2 linked regions of the Rhinolophus ferrumequinum genome follow. The protein of the gene in region 1 purifies or fractionates together with the protein of each later gene. This does not show direct contact. Links are inferred from orthologs where the notes say so. Each region holds a gene or a part of one and is shown in the gene's direction. Other genes may lie near its edges.

Region 1 (3,745 bases):
CGGGAAGGATTTATGCAAACTCAATCCGAATCAATGGAATAAGGCGCCTAAGAGGCAGGGACCACGCTATCCGGCTCTGCAACGGGTTTCCATTCCGCGAAACTGCCAGCACGTGGCACCTGGGTGAAGCAACCGGTCAAGAAAGGTTCCAGGACCAGGCGCCAAAGTGCAGAGGCCCGCGAGGTGTGATGGGGGTGAGGCGGCGCGGACTGTGACCTGCTACTGGTATTGCAGGCGTCTAGGTAGCACTGACGGCCGCGCCGGGCTCTTCCTGACACGGGCCCAGTTCGACTAGCAAGTAGCTCAACCCGCCTTTAATTCTCGTTAGTGACCCCCGCCCGGCCTGCCTTGGTTTTTCCACCGCGGCGACGAGTCCGTGTTCCAAAACTTAGGAATGACAGTACCCCCGAGTGACAGGGAGATAAGATAATTTATGGCTAGGGCGAAGTCCTATGGAAGGTAGACCTTTTCCTTCCTGTCTCGTTTTTCCGCACGGTTTTCCAGAAATAACTTGCTTCCCAGTTTGCTCTCCAAGTCACCCCCTCCAACAGCGAGACTATTGGTTTGGCCCCTAGACTCGGATTGGCTGAAGGTTTACGCCTAGGCCAGGGATTGGAGGACGTTGGTCCCTTACGTATGCACCGCGCCCATTGGTTCGTTTTCCCGGTTTCTGGGAGGAGTGGTTAGGGACGGTTTCCACCCTCTTGTTTACGGAGCGCGTAGTTGTAGCGCTCTCTGAGACCTGGGGCTGCCTCCAAAGTTCCCTGTTTAGCTCCTCGGACCAATTGGGTCTCTGCTCCACCCTCCACCTCTCCCTTACACGCCTCTCGCGTGGTACGGCCCTCACCTTTAGAGCGGCGGCGCGAACGCACGCCCGCAGCGTTCCTCCGCCCGCGCTTGCTGGGCTGCTTCCCCTTGCGGGTGCGCTTGGTACGGCCCGCGCCGCCTCCTTCCTTCGCTGGGGTGGCTCCTCCCCTCTCGGGTCCGCGGCTCTTGGTGCCGCCCTGGAGAACCAGGTCATCGGCCGGTTCCCGTGAAAACAAAAACAATCGGCCGCGCGGCCGCTGGCTCCCGAACGCGGCAAGCGGGGAACAGGGACGCGGGGCCCGGTGGGGCGAGCAACCCAGAGCGTACGCAACGCGCGGGGCGCCGGGCGCCATGGGGCAGGCGGGCACAGGCTGCACGGGGCTCCGCCGGCGCCGGGGCTAGCTTGCCCGCCGCTTCAGCAGCCCGCGCCGCCCGCCTGGGGGACGAGGAGCAGGACGCGGCCTCGGCCGGGCCCGGGACGAACGGTTGCGGACACCCGGGCGCCGAGGAGCCGAGCGCCGCCGCCGCCTCCGAGATGGATCAGTGCGTGACCGTGGAGCGCGAGCTAGAGAAGGTGCTGCACAAGTTCTCGGGCTACGGGCAGCTGTGCGAGCGCGGCCTGGAGGAGCTCATCGACTACACGGGCGGCCTCAAGCACGAGATCCTGCAGAGCCACGGTAAGGCGGCCGGGTTGGGCGCGCGGGGCCGGGCCCACCCGTCCGCGTCCCTGAAGCCATGGCTGGCCGGGAGGGGTGCCCTCGGAGGGCCGTTTCCCGCCTCCACGAGGCGCGGAGATCCTCAGACCCCCGTGACTTTTCCTTCTCTTCTGGATTTGACTCGAACCTGTCCGACCTGGTTGTTAATTAAGAGTGAGCGCGATCCCACCCGGAAACCTATCCCGGAGCCGCGTGCTCCAGCCATGTTAAACCTGCGTGGGGGGTCGGTCCGCCGCACCTGCAAATCGCCGCCCTCCGGGGTGGGTGCCCCTTGCCCCGACCGACCGGGAGGGTCTAGGTGAAGAGGATAACTGCGGGAGGCCCTTTCCTCCTCCCCTGCTTCAAATCCTTTTTCGGGGGACTGACTTTCCTTTTTTTTTTTTTTTTTTTTTTTTTAAATTAGAAAGTCGAGTGTTATTCTTAGCTGTGGGTTAACAGAACAGTCGCTTCTGCAACTTCAGAATTTGCTGTGTGGAAGCAGCTCTTCAACTCCGCAACAGCGCTGACATGATTGCAAGGGAATTAGCTGAACCAAACTGGTCAGCTCTCCTAGTGTAGCCTATGATGAGACTGAGGAACAATTGGAAATTCTTCCTGAAGCAAATTGTGGCGCAAGTTGTTAGTTACTTGCCTCAATTGGTCAAGTGTTTACTTGTTTTCCTTTTAGAAACCATGTTTCCTTTAGAAGGTATTTTACCTCGGTTATTTCATTCTTGCCCTAGAGCCTGGAGCAGACACTTTGCCAAAGTTAACTTGTGGAAGCTGGTTGGGAAGGTTTTTTGTTTTTTTTAAGTGACATTAAAGGTCTGGTATCCTTACATTAAAATATTCATTGTGATGATTCCTTTTGATCAAGAAGTAGGGGACTTTTTATTTAATAGGTTCATTCAGAAGGTTGATAGAGGGTCTTTTCAAACTTGTAGGCTGAACAGAAATTTATGTAAAGGAAGATTTGGTAGCTGGGGTGAAATGCTGATACTTGTGACAGGTGAGATGAAGGCAGTGGAGCTGAGCTTCGCTCTTCTCTCCATTCTTCCACACCTACCTTTCCCAGATGGCTTTCAGTTGAGAGTAAGTGCTAGTCCATGGTAAAGGAGCCTTATAACATCATCTCATTCTGGACTTCACAGTCATTTTTGAACTCCGGGGAAGAAGCAAACTTGCAACCATAGTGGAGGTAGAAGTTGAAATATTAATATGGAAAAATTAGCAGACCTAGGTGGTTGCCTGTGAAGGGGAATGGAGGTGGAGTGGTCTGGGAATCCTGGGAAGGCTCTGGTGAATTTGGTTTTGGACATGTGAGATAAAGGGAAGGGTCAACGAGGATATAGAGTCAAGTGATTAATGTTTACTGGTGGCCGGAGATGATGCATAGATGGTGTTGGTCTGGGAAAGAAATACCATTTTTTAGCTTAATTTGCCAGAAGTTCAAGGATTGTACTGAGCTCTGATTCTTATCCTTAATCATTTTGATTAAACTTTAGATTCACTTAATTTCCCCAACTTGAGGGAAGAGAAGACACTGCTGTCATTTAGTTGTAACAGGCTTTCAATGAGAGTTTCCCTGTAAGTATGAAAATTGGTCTAATTTAAAATTCAGTATGGTTGATGCTGTTTCATTCCCAGTGTGCCCTTGACCTAATTTGGATAATGCACTGCTGTTTCTCAAACTTCACTCATACATGTGCACTGTTATTTTTCAGATGGATTTATGATTTTACTTAAGTAGATTTGTCCTCATTCTAAACAACGATATTTGTGAAGTCATAGGTTTGGTGTGATAGTATAAGTTACATGTTAAAAATAAATTCATAACCACTAAAGTATTATTTCACATACAGGTAAAATCACCATTCACATCAGTGGTTATGGGAACCACATTTTGGACAACCCTTGATTAAGATAAATAGTATGGATAAATTTTGGTGATTTGACTTGTGATTATATGCCTTTTAGCATGTTTTTTTTTTTTTTCCTACTGGCAAATATATTTATATATTTCCTTTTGTGGTGGAAGGGATAACAGAAAAGAACTATATCGTACTGCTGCTATTCTAAATATCAGCAATATTGGTGAAAGAAGAGTAGAATGAAACAATTGGATAACAGTTTTATGACATGTTTGAAGTGTACTTGGGAAAATTACAATTTTTGTAAGAGTAAAGTGTGTACAGTATTTTTTATTATTTTCTAGAGGAGTTCTAATGTGGTTTGTGAAAGTA
Region 2 (3,745 bases), on another chromosome or scaffold:
CCAGTCGTCACTGTCAAATCTCTTTGCACCTTGGAATCACTTTCTGCGAGGGGCCGACAGCACTCCCGCGTTATTCAGTTCCCTGCTGAGCAACCCACCCATCCAACCCCGGACTTCTAATTCAGGACGACGCCCGACTTCACAGGGTGGAGACCGGGGGCTGCCCTCTCCTGCCTCCCCGAAGCGCTCACGATCTTTCCACTTGAGTCTCCGGCAATGGGGAAACGAGGCCCCGCTCTGACGTCTGCATTCTTCTCGAGCAGACGAGCTTTACTAAGCAAACGATCGCGCAAAGGTGTCTCTGCTCCTTCGCGTCCCCCAGGTCCGGGCCGCGCGGCACCTCGGGACCCCGCCGCACACGCCTGCAGCCCCCGCCCGGCCTGGGCGCGGCGGACGGACCCCCGGTCCTCGAGGTCCCCGTGGGCAGGCCCTGTCTGTTCACTCATCTGGCAGCGCGCTCACCGACACGGACACGGTCGGGTAACCCCGGGGGCCCGCCTCAACCGACGGAACGGAGAACTCCTGCGGGCCGCGCCGGGCGGCTCCTCCGGGCCTGTGCGAGGGCAGGCGACCGGTCGGGAGGGACCCTGGCTCGGGGCAGCGCGGCGCGCCGGCGCCTGTTTCCCGCCCCCGCCCCGCGCCCTCCGGGCTCACACAAACGACGGAAGGGACGCTGGACCTTCGCCTCGGACTCAGTCTCGCTGTCGCCATCCCGGTGCGAAGTTCCCCCACAGCGGTGCCTCGGCGGCGGCCATCTTGCCCAGAGGACGACGCCTTTTGACTCTCGCGCCAACCCGTAGAGCGAGCGCGCCGCGAAGGGCATTCCGCGCAAGGACGGAAGCCGCGCCGCCGCGCTTCCGGGCGGCCGCCGCGCTCCGCCCCCTCGAGGGAGCCCTTGATTGGCTGCCCGCTCGCGATCTCGCGGGAAGAGGCTGAGGGGGCGGCCGCCGGTGCGTCTGCCCTCCCGTTCCCCGCCCCCGCCCCCGCCTCTGCCGCGGCCCCCGCCTCCGCCTCCCCCTCCCCGGCGCCGCCGCCCCCTCCCCGCCCGGCCCGGCCCCCCGAGCGGCCGCGGAGACCGCGCAGCGCGGGAGGCGGGATCCGCACGGTAAGATGGCCGCGGCTGGCCCAGGCGGTCGGGCCGAGCGTCCCCACGGGAGCGCGGCGGGGCGGGAAGGAGGCCGGCGTGGGCGCCGCGGCCCCCGGTGGGGTTCGCGGCCGGGTGGGGGCCGAGTCCGGGTTACCGTGCGGCCGAGGTGCGCCCGGCCGGACCCGCGCCGCGGGCCGTAGGGCGTCGAAGGTCCGAGCAGGTGTCAGGATCCGAGCGAGCTCCCGGGCGGAGGCGGCGCCTTCTGGATTTGCAAGTCAAACGGCCCCCTTTGCTCCCCGCCAAAGTGGACGGCGCGGCGTGGCGGTGCCGGGCGCCGTGACTCGGGGTGGACTCTCACTGGGTGGACACGGCAGGGAGGCTCCGGCCGTCGGCGTGTCGTTGACTAGACGAGGGAGACGTAGCACATGTGTCTGGCGGGAGCGATCTTTGTAACAACTGCTTCCGAGCAGAAACACCTGGCGAGGACGCGGGTGGCCGCTCGGAAGCGAGGGCTCCTCGTCGTCAGAATTGGGGTGTCGATGATGTCGGTTGAATGCTCAGCTGCGGAGTTCCTCCCGCACACAACAGAACCGGCCGGCTCTCCCGAGTTGTTGCTGTCCGACATCGCTCTCGCCGCCAGGGAGTGGTACTGGCGTGGTTGCTAATTACCGAGCGGAAACGCAGAGAAAAGCGCCTTATTTGACCTCGAATTGTCGAGGAATCAGAATTCAACCGAGTGACTTCAGCAGCCGGGACACATGGGCATTTGTACGAGATGCATGTCGTCTTTCGGCCCCTTCCAAGGACCTGAGGACTTTAGCTTGTGCCCCTTTGCTTCCTCACCCATGCTCTCGCTCCCTGATCTTTGCCAGACTCTGGGCTTTCCATATTTGTTGGCGGATGTCTCCCTGATGACTGTTTCCAGCGCCGAGGCCGGGACCTGTAATCAGGTGTCTGCTTGACTTCTCCAGCGGGCGGGCTGTCTCCTCGTCAGCCCGGACTCGCCCTGCTCCTCCAACCTGTTCCTCCCCCAGTCCCTCCTCATTTGTGGCCCCATCCTTCCAGGTCTCAAGCTCGCAACCTCCAGTCCTCGGTGTCCTCTTGGATCCGCCCACGTTGGGCTCAGCAGGAGGCTTGTCACAGAATCTCGATCAGCTGTGTCTCCAGCTCTCCTGCTGTCTGTCGTCTTGTTGGGGTGGCTCCTTATTGGTCTTCCTGCTCAACTCTCACCACCCACTTTTGCTGTCTTTTAAGTTTTTTTAGTTTATTGAAGCAATTTGGCACATGCTTTGCTACGTATAAAGTAGTGTCCATAACGTGTATGCCAGTGACGAAGTGGACAGCGGTGGACTCACCACCCATCTCAAGAGCCCCACTGGCATTCCCAGGGCCGGCACCTCTCTGCCCCTGTTCCCATCATAACCGCCTTCTACGTTTCATGTTTTCTAAGTACTTACTGCCCAAGCACACTTTATGTAGTTTCTCTTGTTTTTGTTCTCTACAAAAGTGTCTGCCACATCTGGGCTATCGTTGCAACTTGCTTTATTCACCCGGCTGGTTTCTAAGACTCATTCCCGTGGTGGTCATTTATCTTAACTACTTTAGTAAGTTCCCTTACGTGAATACGTGACCACCGTCCCTTCTCAGCAATCCTAAAATCCAAATCGCTCTGAAGACCAAAACTGTTTGTTTTTGTTTTTCACTTATTTGGTAGCAAAGCCCGACCTGGCCAAGGCTGTATCATAGCCTCTATGCCACTCAGCACAAAAACTCACATTTCACAGGGGAAATAACATGTGGTTATGGGTTCTGCCCCAGACCTGGGGAGGGTGTCATATACGCATGATATACTGTAAATTGTGCTGTATGTAGTCTTTGTGCAATCTGAAACATTCTGGATTCTAAAACATCTGCCCAAGGGTGTGGGGCCTAGGAACCACAGCTCTTTGTCCATGCTGCTGTTGACACCGGGGCGGTGGCTGCCACATTTCTGCCATTTTGAACACTTTCTGTGAACAGTCTTGTGTTTGGTGCCCGGATGTGAGTTTTCGAGGGGGTCAGTCTAGCAGGAGAATTGCTGGGCGGTGCAGAGCGCACGTGTTCAGCTGTACAGAGAATGCCAAATGTTTTTGCAGTGCCCGTGTATTCTGACAGCGGTGTGACAGTTTTGGAGAACTCCGTGTCTTTGTTACACTGGTCGCGTCAGGCTCCTCCGTTTTTGTCCGTGTGGTGGATGGGCAATTGCGAGCGCCTTCTGAGCGTGAACATCATAGCACGTAATTCTTCGGCTTACATCTCTGCGGCTGCCCTTTGCACGTAGGGGAGGAGGCATCTAAGTCCGTTCCCCAGCCAGTAGGGCCTTCCTCAGTCCGACCGCAGCCAACCTCTTGACCTCTTCATTCTAAGACCCTTGGCTCTTTCTTGCGTCATCCTCCTCCTTCCTGGTCCCCAGCCCTAGCCCTGCGTTCAGGTCTCAGGCCCTTTGCACTCACTGTACTTCAGATTTAAAGCGTCTTCCTACTCACTCCATCTTACTTCTCATTACGTCTCTGTGTTTATTTCTGAAACGACTATAATTGTGACAGAATTATTCACCAATTGTTAAATTTTTTTTTCCTGTAGAAATAAATCAGGATGAGTTATGCAGAAAAACCCGAT

What was found. The genes of interacting proteins can lie anywhere in the genome.
Region 2: the proteins of RMND5A (region 1) and GID8 purify together in Homo sapiens (affinity purification with mass spectrometry; 5 studies listed by BioGRID and IntAct, counting the BioPlex papers as one, with this or other methods). This does not show direct contact. The link is inferred for Rhinolophus ferrumequinum from reciprocal best matches to the Homo sapiens genes RMND5A and GID8.

The regions. Positions count from the first base shown.
Region 1 is NC_046296.1:7,840,869-7,844,613, reverse strand, and holds the start of RMND5A (E3 ubiquitin-protein transferase RMND5A), read left to right. Parts: upstream 1-1,026; 5' UTR 1,027-1,342; coding exon 1,343-1,484; intron 1,485-3,745.
Region 2 is NC_046306.1:825,768-829,512, reverse strand, and holds the start of GID8 (glucose-induced degradation protein 8 homolog), read left to right. Parts: upstream 1-958; 5' UTR 959-1,105; intron 1,106-3,709; 5' UTR 3,710-3,721; coding exon 3,722-3,745. UniProt on the Homo sapiens protein: Core component of the CTLH E3 ubiquitin-protein ligase complex that selectively accepts ubiquitin from UBE2H and mediates ubiquitination and subsequent proteasomal degradation of the transcription factor HBP1.